Linked DNA regions of Struthio camelus. The protein of the gene in region 2 purifies or fractionates together with the protein of the main gene of each other region. This does not show direct contact. Links are inferred from orthologs where the notes say so. Each region holds a gene or a part of one and is shown on either strand. Other genes may lie near its edges.

Evidence for each region.
Region 1: the proteins of H2AX (region 2) and GON-4-like protein purify together in Homo sapiens (affinity purification with mass spectrometry; 3 studies listed by BioGRID and IntAct, counting the BioPlex papers as one, with this or other methods). This does not show direct contact. The link is inferred for Struthio camelus from reciprocal best matches to the Homo sapiens genes H2AX and GON4L.

What each region holds. Positions count from the first base shown.
Region 1 is NC_090971.1:4,005,273-4,012,648, reverse strand, and holds the start of GON-4-like protein, read right to left. Parts: upstream 3,025-7,376; 5' UTR 2,987-3,024; coding exon 2,680-2,986; intron 848-2,679; coding exon 626-847; intron 1-625. Other genes in the region: SYT11 (synaptotagmin-11), read left to right, coding at 3,751-3,784. UniProt on the Homo sapiens protein: Has transcriptional repressor activity, probably as part of a complex with YY1, SIN3A and HDAC1. Required for B cell lymphopoiesis.
Region 2 is NC_090963.1:90,459-96,959, forward strand, and holds H2AX (histone H2AX), read left to right. Parts: upstream 1-4,885; 5' UTR 4,886-5,000; coding exon 5,001-5,432; 3' UTR 5,433-5,929; downstream 5,930-6,501. Other genes in the region: DPAGT1 (UDP-N-acetylglucosamine--dolichyl-phosphate N-acetylglucosaminephosphotransferase), read left to right, coding at 156-243, 615-770, 1,958-2,023. UniProt on the Homo sapiens protein: Variant histone H2A which replaces conventional H2A in a subset of nucleosomes. Nucleosomes wrap and compact DNA into chromatin, limiting DNA accessibility to the cellular machineries which require DNA as a template.

The DNA of each region.
Region 1 (7,376 bases), on a different chromosome or scaffold from region 2:
TAAAAATTCAGATACTTCACATCCAGCACATTCAGACAGTATGAGACTAAAAAAGAGCTGGAATTCTGTAGATACTAAAGTGGCAGCAGCTTTCCAACAGCTGATAACGAAACCTTCCACATGGAAGTGGCCACAAAGACTAGACACAGAGGATTCAAATTCTGCAGGATCTGAATGAGTCACATTAGTCAAGCACACAAACGTTACGTATTTGACACCTCCGCTAGAGCGGAGATGCTCTTTCAACCCTTTTCCAGATGTTTTAAGTAGCGAGTCAAGCTTAAAACAGTTGCAAAAATTCAGACACCATGAAGCAAAAACAGATTGCAGTTTCTGGGACTTAAAGGGGGTCCCAAGTGGCAGTGTTTTGCTGACTCAGGGCAAAGAAGGAATCAGAACTTCCTCTAAAGGACAACGGTGTTTTCAGTGACTGAAAATTACAGAGATCAACTCCAGCAAGTTTCATCTGGATACCTGAAGCTTATTTAGCCACTGTATTACAGAACACAGTATGAAAACGTCAGAAACCGTTGCACTTAAACAGCCCCTTGTCATGGTGTAGATGCTTCCAAGTTCCGTATCTACTACAGTAAAGTCACAGGTCTGTTCCTTGCACAAAGCTTACCCAATGGAATAAACAGCCCAACATCCTCATTTTCCTCATCAGTCTGCTGGGGCCACTCACCAGCTCTGGTGTTCTTCAGTGGCTTCATCGTGGCAGGATTTTGAGCCGCCAGTTGCAAAGAATGTCTCAGTGGAGACTCCTGCCCTGCAGAACGGCTGTCAGTCGGATGTGGATCTCTCTGCAAAACTACTTCCTCCTCTGTATGCTGTTTAGGCGTTTTCCCTGTAAACAGTATACACCAGCTTTCAGTTAGACATGCCATACAGACACAGCTGAGCAAGGTTAAGAGCTTACCACATGAAGCTACAGTACAAAAATTTATTGTGGCCGATTCAAATCTGTTAAATCAACTGCGCAAGTAGGGCTCCCTAGCAAAGCAATTCAGATAAGCGAAACGTTTCAGCAGCGGTCCCATGCTAATATTCTGATGGAAACAAACACAGGTTAAGAGACCCTGGGCTCCAGCTATTTCAGTCTTGCTCCCTCCATTATCTGGTTCATCAATTTCGCATAGGTAGGCTCAAAATCCTAGCTGTAAAGTGATCTAATCATTAAAAAAGCAATGATTTGTTTAAAGCGTGGTCACGTTCCCTGTTGTATAAACAGAATTGCAGCTACAGAAATGAACGGCTAGGGGCAGGCATTCCTTTACTCAGATACTTTATTTGCAACCAGAACAGCATACTTGACTGCAGCCTTAGGATGCAGTCTCATGGCCACCTTAGGCTAATTTAAGAGTACCCTACTGCTGAAAGGGGTAGCTACACACCCTCCCCACTCCTATTCTGCACAGTCCTAGAGGTTATGTAGGCCTGACAGAAAAACGACCACTGCTCCAGCCCCCTCCCCTTACACAAAAGGGCTTTCATCAAATCCCTGAGCTGGGCAGTCAAGCAGACGAGTGAGCCCATCCAGACGGGGAGGAAGAAACAACAACTCCCCCTGCACACACGCTTCTGGCTAGATCAAGTCTCCAAACTCGCTGTACGCAGAGACAAACACGCACACCAGCCAAAGAGGAGCAGAAGAACACGCAGTTCGGGGAAAGAGAGGGACCAACCACTTCTTTCAGCGGACTTGAACACGACTGGACCTACAAAACCGGCTTCGTTTTGCTCACGAACGCTCCTCCCGTCTCCTTCCCGTGAGCTCCCATATCACAGCTTCACTGGCTGAACCCCTAAGGAAGGTTTACCCAGGCTTTTCACATCAACGCAGCACTTCCAGAATACCTACGTTCTGCAACAAACGGGTAACTTTCTGCTAACAAAAGCCCCGCTTAAACTGGCTCTTGTAAAGGATCACAGCAGGGTCCCATACGAGCGCCACTCTAGATAATTCTTTCAAGCATTGTGAAATCTGATCTTCTGCGAATGAAAACATACGCACAAGAGTCCGCAAACAGTATTTTCGGAAAAAGCAGCTTGCACCTTCACCAGTCTTTACGTATCGCTAGCAAAACGTTTAAGTTTAAAAACTAAACGAAAGCCATTTCAAATCAAAGCCGGTATTTACAAAGGCTTGTCTGCAGACTAATCAAGAGTGAAATATCCTGCCCAAGACAATGCTACGACATACATTTATGAACGTTATTATTACGACTGATCGCTACGTAGAGTCCACAGATTAACCCCAACAAGGGCAAAACCAGGAAGCTCTGTGTAAGGGCTGGAAAACTGAGCGTTTCGCTCAAGCCAAGTATAACAAACGCGAAATCAGAAAGAAACTACTTCTAAAGCGTTCAGCGCTTGGCCGGGCTAAAGACAGGCATCCTAAGTGCTCCTTAAGCTTTCTGCGATTTATAGGGAGGAAAACAACCTCTAAAAACGGAGCGTTTGCCAACGTCAACGCTTCAGAGCGACAAAAAAAAAAAACACGCTCGAGATGCCTGGCGTGAACCAGCTGGCGAAACTCCCCCTCAGCGCCGAGCAGAAGTCCCAGCGCCAGGCCGAGGCCGGCGACCGGCCCGTCTAGGCGTTTCCGAAAGGCGTTTCGCGAGGCCTCGCGTACGGGCGGCGCGAGAAGCGTTGCGGGAGGCAGCTCGAGAGCTTTACCGTCGTCAGCAGGCTCGGGCGGAGGCAGAGCCTCTGCTGCGGCCTGGCGACCGTCGGCGCCCTCCTGGCCGGCACCCGGCGCTGCCCTCGCCGCCGGCCGCTTCCCGCCCTTGAGGAAGGTCTCCGCCGGCTCCCGCCGCGCCTTCGCGCCGGCCGGCGAGCCTCTGGCGGCGGGGTCGCCATCGGAGGAGCCGCCGTCGGCGGGAGCCGGCGCCTCGCCGGCGCAGCCCGGTTCCCGCGGGCTCTGCGGGCCCGCCACCGCCGCTTTCCTCTTCTTGCAGGGCAACGTCTTCAACGAGAGCGACATCCCGCTCCCGGGCGGCCTGGAAGACAGCGAGAGCGGCTGCTCGCAGGCCGGGGGAGGGGGGGGGGGGGGCCGCCGCCGACCGCCGCCGGCCGGGCCCCGCCGCCGCGTCCCGCTCCCTCCGCAGGAAGCGGAAGCGCCCTCAGGCCGGGCGCGCTGCGCACGCGCCGCGCCGCCATGTCGGCTGGGGCGCGGGACGGGCGGCCGCCATGTTGGAGTAGCGGGGGAGGGGGGAGGGGGAGGAGGCGGCCGCGCCGCCATCTTGGCGCCTAGGCGGGCTCCGCGGGCAGCGGCCAGGCCTCCCCCCCGGTGACTCCAGCCTCCTTCCCCCCCCCCCCGCCACCGCCGCCGCCGCCGCCGCTATCACCCCGGGCGGGGGCGGAACCACCCGGCGCTCCCGACTCGGCGGCAGCGTACTGCCGCGCAGGGGGGCCGCTGCCGCTCCCCACCGCACACACGCCCTGACCACTACCCCCCGCGGCGGGCCGGGAGCGGGGTGGTCGCCGCCGGCTGCCCGGCCCCGCTCCCGCGGCGCGGCGGGGACCGGGGCCGCCGACACTTGCCGAGTCACGGCGGGGCGGGGCGGGGCGCGGGGCGGCGCCTGAGGCCGGGCGGGGCCTGCGCTGCCTCGGGACCAGTCGGCAGCTCCTGCATCCCGGGCGCGGAGCATCCTCAGGGCGGGGGGGGGGGGCTGCTGCTGCTGCTGCCGCCGCCGCGGCGCCTCCGCACCGGATCCCGCATCCCCACCGCGCCGGCCTGGCTCTACCATGGCTGAGATCGCCAGCGTCCGCCCCAGCTTCGGTGAGTGGGGCCGGGCCGGGCCGCACGGATCCCCCGCGCCCCTTCCTTTCCCTTCCCTTCCCTTCCCCGCGGGCGGCGCGGAGACGGGGCCCTGCCCGGCGGCGGCGGCCATCGCCGCCATCCCCTTGCGGCCACGAGCCGTGCCGCCGCTCCGCGCCCTCCCTCGGGAGCGGGCAACACCCATCGCTCGCCACCGGCGCCTGGCTCCGCGCCAGCGACTCGCCCGAGCTACAAACGCCGCCGCGGGCCTCGGCGCTGGGTGGAGCCGGCGGCCCCCCGCCGCAGGTGCGCGGCCGCGCCGGGCCGCGGCGACTCCGCGCCGCATGACGTGACGGCTGTGGCCGCGCCGCGCCCCACCAGCCTTTTGTTCGCGCCTGCCCCGGGGGGCCGCCGCTCGGGTCCCGCGGGGGCGGCCGCGGCCCGGGGCGGCGGCTCTGCGGCCCTCGGCGCCGGCGGAGGCGAGAGCAGGTCCGCGGGCTGCCGGCAGCAGCGCGGGGGCCAGCCGGGAGCTACGCGAGCCCGGTAAATCGCTCGATGCACAGCAGCCCGGACCCGCGCCTGTGCCGTCACGGTCTGGCTCCGGCACCTGCGGAGCGCGGCCTCCTTGCTGCCTGGGTCACCGGCAAAACGATTTCCCCGAGGTTCTGCTCGCCAGGTTTTAAGAAGCGTTTTGCCACCCCTTGGGTCACAAGGTGTGGTAATACAGCGTTTGCTGTACGTGTCAAATGTGGTTTCTCAAATCCTGAAGATTGGAATTGCTGCCTCTTTCTGCCCTCCAGCTATTGACTGACCTTCCCTTGAGGCCGTAAGGCCCCATCGTTAAAGCACGTTTACCACGTTTCCCTTATATTCCGAAGCACTTAATTCTAATTCACCACACTATATCATTTATTTAATGCACAATATATCTGTTTACACTTTACATTCCATGCCTTTCATGGAATCCAAGAGCCACGTACTCTCATAATTTAACTTTTGGCAACCGGTAGCCATTACGGTATAATGAGAGAACATCAGTATTAAAAGGAAGTTCTCAATGATTCTTCATTAGTTGAGATATATTGATTCCATGTCCAAAAAAGGAGTTTTTTGGCTCAATTAAATCTTAGCATCACATCAGAACCCCTTCTAAGAAATTTGAATAAAAAAGCTTGGTTCTGCTCTTTCCTTTTAGAGGGAGGAGACAAGATAGGCTGTGGTACCATTTAAAATGATCTAGCACTTGCTGTTGTCCTCTACCTAAGGAAACATCAAAGGATGCTTCAGAACAGAAAGTATCAAGCGTTCTGCTTTCATTAAGTTATTCTCGAGTTGTGCATTACTCAGGTATTTATACATCGTGAGGCTCAAATATTTGCTTCAGACATTCTAAGCGCTTCTCTATGCACAAAGTTGCAAAAGCTTAACCAAAGTTGCTTTTAGACTGCTTTAGGTCATTTTAGTTTACAACTCTAAAGGAATTATGGAAACAGGATTACTAAATGTATGGAATGATTATATAAAGTAGGAGTCTTTAGCCAGGAAAAGAGGGGCATCGCGACCAGCATAGATAAAGAGAGTAGGGAAAGATTTTTCACTGCTTCTTCTAATATAAGAACAGGCATCAGATGAAAGCAGCTGGAGCAGCCTCAAAATAAAAAGTTGTTTTGTCTTGTCATATAATTTCAGCTACAAGGCATTATTGAAAGCCAAGTTTAAAAGCTCAAAAATGATTAGGTATTTTAATGGAAGAAAAAATGGAAGAAATCATAATGGAAGACAATCACAGAGGCCATTTCTAGTGTGATTGCTGGTTGCTTCTTCTAAAAATTGTCTATCAGATCTACAGGAAATAAAAGTACAAGAGGTAGGCTATGAAGACACACATACAAAAGAGAAAATCCAGCCAAATTGAGATCAGAACAAGAAAGGATAGGAGTATCAGCGTTTGCCCCTTTTTTGCATATGGTCTGAAGCTTGCAATATCTGGGCTGAATTGCAGTATTCTATTCCAATTATCTGTTAAAGATCATTTGCCACATTTCAAAAAGGGAACATTAAATAACAAAATAAAGATATATCTGTAAGTGTTTCGTTAATGTTGTTGTGAACAGCTCTTGCTTTAGTTATTCTAATGCCAAGCTACACTTGCAACGGGGCCTGAGGTAAATTTATCCATGGAGCCAATCACCAGGTGAAAGTCTTCCAGCTTCAGTCTAGGAAGACTCCTGTCTAACCAAAAGTGGTTTTTCTATTTTTGCAAAAAGAAAATATTTTGGTCTTTTGAAAATTAGAGTTTTCACTCAGCCTATTAAATGTTCAGATGATAATCTGTCAGTCTTGCTCTCTTTCCTGTTAGCCTCAAAGAATAATAACATGGAAAGAGAGAGAAAATACAAAACTAAGGTGCTCTCTACAGTTTCAAGTATGAGGTTGGAAGATTTTTGCTCCTGCTTGTGATACAGAATGAAAATATGAAAATCAGACAAGCTTACCTGTTGTCTTATTTGTTCTGTTTAGCTGTTGTCATGACAATGGTTTTTTGTTTTTTCATTTTACTATGGAAGCAGTTTGTACAACCTGTAAAGAAAGAGACGTGGAGCTAGAGGGGTGAGGGGTTTTTTGTTTCAAAAAAAAAATTGCTTTAATGATGATTAAAGCAGTAATACCACAATAATAATATCAACATCATAATAATAATACTACCAATAATGCTAAAACATTGCTTTTAGTGACAAGTAACTCTCAAGATAAACTTAAATTTAGACTATGTGTAAAGATAAACATCCTCAGAAACACCTGCTTGTTTGCTCTTTTAATAAATTAATCTATCTCCATTCTTTCTTAAGTTTAAGGGGGGCAGAGGAAAGTCTTGCAGAAGACATCTACGCAACAGAAAATTTTAATGTTACACGAATTATAAACAATTTATAATATTGTGTGTAGAGAAGGAAGAAATGTATTTCGATGAGGGAGCAGTTATATGATGACTGCAGTAAAGATGCACAGCGATTCCCTGCCATGTGACACAAAATGCATTCTGCGCTAAGTGATGCTATTGGAGGAAGAGCGGTTAGGCTTAGAGAGCCTCTTCCCTCTCCCCTAGTCTATTAAACTACCCACGATTAGTGTGTGAACATTTCATAATGTAACCATCTGCCTTTTTTGTCTTGTTTTGATTAGCAGCGAAATAATGCATTGCCTGCAAAATGAGAAATCTTCTCTACGATAATCTCCTTCGCTGAAAACCTTTCAGTATTGCTAGCACCAGTGCAATTTCACCAGCAGGAGCACTAGTGAAGATAAGGCACTGACAGTGACCGCCATTTTTTACCACCACTTTTATGTCACTACGCAGGTTTAATTTAATGTGGTGCATCCATAAGAAGAGATAGATAGGTTGCTCAGTCAAGTGTTAAGTATTCCCAAGAATGGAGGTTCCGCAACCTCTCATCCCTTTTCCAGTGTTTGGCCACCCTCACTGTGATTTTTTTCCCCCCTAGTATCTAATTGGAATTTCCTTTGGTGCAATTTGTGTCTGCTGCCCTTCATCCTTTTGCTATACATCTCTGAGAAAAGCCTGGCTCTGTCTCTCTATAACCTCCCATTAGGA
Region 2 (6,501 bases):
TGAGGGACCATATCAGCAGGTGCTGTTATGTATATCAGATCATTTCTGTGTCCCCCCCCCGGCCTGACTTCTGAACTACCCAGGTAGCAATCGACATCAGATTACACAGGGACCATTCTATCTTCTTGCTCCTAAAATTTTAATGTTTCTTTTAGGCTCAATCCTAGTACAGGGAAGTTGGAGATGAGCTATTCCAAATTCAAAACTAAGAGCCTCTCAGCCCTGGGAACATACATTCTGAAGGTAATATGAGAAAGACAAGTGAAATCTAGACATGTTCTGAGGTAATGATCAAATGGAAGAGGAAGAGGATGGGAGGCAAGGCAGAACTTCTGAATACAGTGGTTAATTCCTAGCTCAACTCCAGAAGAAGACAGTCTCGTTAATCCTGTCACTGTCCCTCATGGACACTCAGTCATATTAATAATGGTCTTTTAAAGTAACCATACCCTAGTAGTTGTCCCAGGACCCTCATAAGCCTGTCCTGTTTTTTCAGTAAGAGCATGAGTCAAACCCCACTGGGAGGGCACAGCAAAAGGGATCCTAGGCAACACCAAATGGTGAGCAGCAAACATACCTGGTGAAATAGCATGCGATGATATTTCTTTCCCCAGGCCGTAAAGATCTTGCACATAGTAGATGTGAGGAGTGGAATGGATGAAGATGGCGAATACACCGAGTGCAATAATATGACACTTATTAACTTTGTTATAAAGCTGACTGGACCCACCCACGAGCAAATTCTCACTCTCCTGTTGCTACTCATCCAGGTCAGACACATGATCTTTCAGGTAGAAAGATGTACTCTGCAACAGAAACAGATCCAAGTCAGTCTTAAGAGCGTCACGGTGAATGGGGGGAGAAAAATGTCATACTTTCATACAAGCAGCAAATGAGCTGTGGAACCTGAGGAGAATTCAAAGTTTACCATAGCTGAAAGAGGAAATAGATTCCCCTCCCTGCCCTCGACTTTGCTCATTGAGAGCTAACAAAGTCCCAATGATTCCCCAAAGCACAAATCGCCAGATGCCGGAAAAAACAGTAGGAAAAGTATCACTGTGTGCTTGCCTTGTCAGTCTGACCTAATACAGCCTTTTTCATGTTTCTGGTTTTTAACCATACCAAATAACACAGTACCAGCGTTACCTCCAGCTAGTAGCCTTGCATAGGTTTGGTATGTATCTTAATGATATATATGGAGTCTGAGCAGGATGCGGTAGCTTTCCGAAGCAACTTAGAGTACAAAGGTAACATACTTCACAGATACTGCTGTCTGCTACCTCTATTCAGCATGTGAACTCCCTTGCCTGATATTATAGGCCCTCTATTTTTAGAGGGGCCTGTATCGCTTAGTTACCCATAATAAAATTCTTTTTTCATACATCTTATATGAGAGTGTCTCATCAGAAAAGAGAAGAGACACTTAGGCAAATTCAAATTGAGGAGGAAGACTTCCAACAAACAAGCCTGGAGACTGAACAGGGCTTAGGCAGACTACCTCAGGGATGGAAGAGGATAGGAAGTACATACATCTTGATCCCAGTCACGGCAGAGAAGTTTAGATAGTGACTGTTTGAAAGGCTGCTGAATTATAGCTTTGAGATGAGGCACTTCCCATTACAAACAATAGGGTTACACTGAAAGACAGGCTCATTAAGGAGGAAAGAGTTATTCTCAGCTGTTCATCACCTCTGCATCGTCTGACAATGTGAACGTGCACAGGCACATACCCAATTCCCCCATGGATAGTTATGATTCTGATGCAGAGAACTGAGAACTTTGGCCAAACTTCTACTTTTCATCTTGTGACACCTAAATATTTTAACTGAGATATTGTCATTTAGTGAAATAAACCATGTCTGACAGCACCAGAAATCCATCTGGAAAAGAAGAATCTGCCAGCCTGTAAAATATCTACCGCTGTAAGATTTCAAACGTCTTTCTTGTTTTTACCTAGGTCCTGGGCAGCACAATTGCATTTTCAATCCGATACCAGCTAGTGCGCTTGTTCTACGATGTCTGATTGGGTTGCCAGGAGCAGGGGAAAGATTTGCACCTTCCAGTCGCTCTTTTACTTTCTCCGACTGCTGACCAAACGTTTAGAATGATCTTATACTGGCCCTGTGAGAACCTCAGGACTCCTTTTAAGATGCAAGCAACGACTCTGCACCGGCCAGTCTTGAACCGTGATCTTGTTTTTGTGCACAAGAAGGTGTTTGTCTGATTCTGCTGACAGAAGAGATTCAATGCTACTTGAATATCATTGTTATTGGGAATACCTTCCATAGGGGAACATACATGACCCAGATCATCTACTCAGAGTACTTAGGGAAAGTGGAAGAGATGAAAGCTCTATATAGAAATAAGCATGTTACTATTCCCTGAAAGATAAAACAGCAACTTCAGTTTCTGTGGGACTCTGTATAGCAGAACAAGTAAACCAGAATCCCCTCTTGTCTATGCCAGTCCTATCTTTGGTCCATGAACATAGAATAACGTGCTATAAGTCATACCCAAAACTCAGAGCACTCTGAGAATAAAATAACTTATGGTACGGTTTCCCCTTCAGTGCTTTGTCACAGGAAGAATACTGACATACAGGGAAACCAGATGGCGTGATACGTTCCTGTGGGTTTTGCCCTGCTGGGGGCTGTTAATTTCTACAGTAGACTGCCTCCTTTTTCACAGCAACTGGGAATATTCCAGGCTCTTTTTTTAGAGGGCTTTAACTTCTGAACGGCTTTATCATCTGTCTTCCTTCCTGGAGTAGGACACTTCTAAGGCTAGCAGAGTAAGGGTCTCCATGTCCTTTCATCGCACAGGGACATCAATAAAGCCTTGTATTAATCTGGGACCGAGATCCTGCAGGCTGCAGTTATTTACACGTATAGCATTTTCTGGCATCATAGTTCACCACAGAATTGCTGCCTACCTGACAGAACAACACATGAGAACCACTGGAGCCTCAGCAGTAGGTTAAAGATTCTGCACGAGACTGATGGGAATGAAAAGCAGAACAATACAACTACAAAGATACGGACACCGAGATGGGTGACATTAAAAGTTGCCAAATCTGGTAGCCTAATAGATACAAGGTCGCTGCATCTCGATGGCCCCAGGTCCAGCCAGTAGCGAGGCTAAGAATGAGTTCCCAGTAGGTACAAATGCATATGACCAGCCACACAGATCAACAAAGCACTCAAACGTGAAAGATACGAGTAGCCTAAATCCTCCTGACCAGCTGGTCAGGATAGCAGTCTGCTAGTAGAATGTATTCATATATATACATATGTATCTACACACACTATGGATCCCTTCAGTAGCTGGCCTTAGATATTCTGGCCAGTAGCCGGCCCCTGGACTCCTTGGTCTCCCCAGTTGCTGGCAGCAGGGTACGTGAATCCTTCAGGCCAGCAGCCCCACTCCAGCTGCTTGTATTCTGACCTCACACACAGACACACACAAGTAGATCTTTCTGGTAGCTGGTCCAGACTGACGGCCTTCCCAGTAGCTGACTCTTAAGACACCCTCCTCGCCCCGCCTCGATTTTTCCAGCGGCTGGCTTGGACCCACCTCCAGTAGGTAACTGGCCGACCCTGGTCCCTGTAGTATCTGATCCTGGATACCTGGCTCTGAAGCATATTGCTTGCTGGCTAGTGCGACTTGATGTCCGCTAGCAATTACACAATCTGACATAGCCACTCACCTACAACCTGCACATACTCCAGTCCCCCCCAGTTGCTGGTACCACAGACTCATGGGCCTCTTTGGACGGTGGTCCAACTCCAGGTGCTGGCACTTAGACCTCCATGCATACACGTGCACACAGAATAGAGCGTCCCTTCACCGCAAAAAAAGCGAGAAATGCTTTACTAAGAGGACAGGACAGACCACGGTCTACCAAACCTACCAACCAGCAACATACGTACGCACAGCATTCCCCACTTCCTACCTTGTATTTTCTCGTGCTCCTATCTCCCAATCCCCTGTAACGCCTCCCTTCCCGGATCTTCCGCTAAACAACTCGTAATAAGTCTCACGCATTCCCACAATCCCCTGAAAGGATCACACAGTAAGCTTTGCACGTTCCCCCAATGGTCTTTCATGGTACCCCACTGTGAGCCCCATACCCCTGCAGGCAGGGACCCTCAGTCTGCGGGCATCTTGGGAGCGCCCAGCTCACCCCGGAGGTGCCCCTGCCAGAGGGGGCCCAGGCCCTGAGGCCAACCACCTCCCTGGAGGGTCCCAGGAGCAGCCTAGCTAGGGCAGCACCATGCTGATGGGGTCACTGGGGTCCCCCACCTGTTGTCGTTCCTCTAGCCCTTTGGGGTACTGTGACTAGCCCTTACATAACCTAGCAGGCAACACAGTTAAAGCTTGTTATCTGGCACTGATCTAGAACTGTTACCTGCAGGCAACGTGCCACAGTCAGAGCTGACCAAAATAAACCTGATGTTTCTCCTCTCAGGGGTACTGTCACTCGTGTGTAAATGCTTTTGCTGCCTCAGGGCTGTCCAGAGGCGCAAGCGGCTCTCTGCGATACAGTCGGCGCGGCCGAGGAGCTCTCGCGGCAGGAGCTGCCCCCCGCCGGGGGAAACGGCAGCCCCGCGGCAGACAGCGAGAGCCGCACCGCCGGGCCGGGGCCGCCGCCGCCGCCGCCGCCGCCGCGCCGCTCCGCTCCCTACCACAGCGCGCCGCACCCCTCCCCCAGCGGCGCGCCCCAACCGCCCCGCACGGTATGAATTTGGCGCCCTGCCTCCTTATTGGCCTGTCGCAGTCGCCAATGGACTCGAGGCGAGCGCGGTCAGATGGCAAAACCGACCAGTCAGCACAAAGGTTCTTCCAGGCGACGCACCAACGGCGAGGCGCGGCGACGCTGTCCAATGAGCTTGGCCCTCCTTTGCCAGAGGCTATAAAGAGGCTGGGTGAGGGGCCCGCCGCCCCGTTTCGCGACGCAGCTGCTGCGCGGAGGGTGCGAGGCGACAGCGTAGCGAGGCGCCATGTCTGGCCGTGGCAAGAGCGGCGGTAAGGCCCGGGCTAAGGCCAAGTCTCGCTCGTCGCGGGCCGGGCTGCAGTTCCCCGTGGGGCGCGTGCACCGGCTGCTGCGGCGCGGGCACTACGCGGAGCGGGTGGGGGCCGGCGCGCCCGTGTACCTGGCGGCCGTGCTGGAGTACCTGACGGCCGAGATCCTGGAGCTGGCGGGCAACGCGGCCCGCGACAACAAGAAGACGCGCATCATCCCCCGCCACCTGCAGCTGGCGGTGCGCAACGACGAGGAGCTCAACAAGCTGCTGGGCGGCGTCACCATCGCGCAGGGCGGCGTGCTGCCCAACATCCAGGCCGTGCTGCTGCCCAAGAAGACGGGCGGCGGCGGCGCGGGCCCCGCCAAGGCCGGCAAGAAGGGCGGCGGGCAGCAGTCGCAGGAGTACTAGGGCGGGCGGCCGAGCCCCACCGACACCACACAAAGGCCCTTTTCAGGGCCACCCACATTGCTCAGCGAGAGAGCTGCGATCCGCGGGGGGGGGGGGGGGGGGGGGGAAGGGGCGCCACCGCGGCCCGCCGCCGCGCCCGGAGGCGGCGCCATGGTCCGCGCCGCGCCGCCCTTCCGGCCGCCGGGGGGCTTCCTGCGCTCGCCCCACGTACTTCCTCCGCCTGCAGCCGCGGGGGGCGGGCCTGGGTGCCCCGGCCTCCACGCGGGGGGCTGGGGGGGGGGGGGGAGAGCCAGGCTGGCTGGGGGCCCCGGCAATAACGGAGTGAAACTCCTACACTGAAACTCCTACGCCACCCCGCTCCACTGCGATCAAAAGTACTGTAAATACAAGCGCTGCTCCCCAAAGTCCTTTGGGTCCTTTAAGTTAACTGTATTTATTGGCTGTTACGTTCAGTGGACGCTGCCTCGAGAATAAACAATGCTTCATTTCCAAAACGATACCCCAGTAAGATGCCATGTCCGTGTTCCTACAAGGCACTGTAACGCAGGAGCTCTGGAGAGAGAGTCTGCAAATGGAACTGGACATGTCAACTCTGAACTGTAGTACAAGGAAAGAGCCAACAGTTATAGAAAAAGGCATAAACAACCCCTGTTTTTCCCTCTTCAAGTTTAGCTCAAAGTTGATTAGCTATCGTATACCAATGACTGTCTCAGATTATAACTATCCAGGGATAAACGAGCCACCCACTTACTTCCCATCATAATTAATTACTGGCTGATGGCAAATTTAGGTCTGATACTTCAAACTTAATTCTTTACCTGAGACCTATGATGAACATAGTGTCCCTGGAACTTTACTATGAAGATCCCCTGTATTAGGAGCCTTATTCAGCTCCCTCGTGGCAGTCTTTCTGATGAGTGAACAGGCCCAAATAGTATTCAAAGGATTATGCAAGTTCTATAACTACTGAACGTACATTATTTTCTTTAGTGCTGTCACAGCTTAGTCTTTGATTATAATCTGTATTCAGTTCCTTATTCCTAAATGCTATAGGAGAACATTTCCCAAA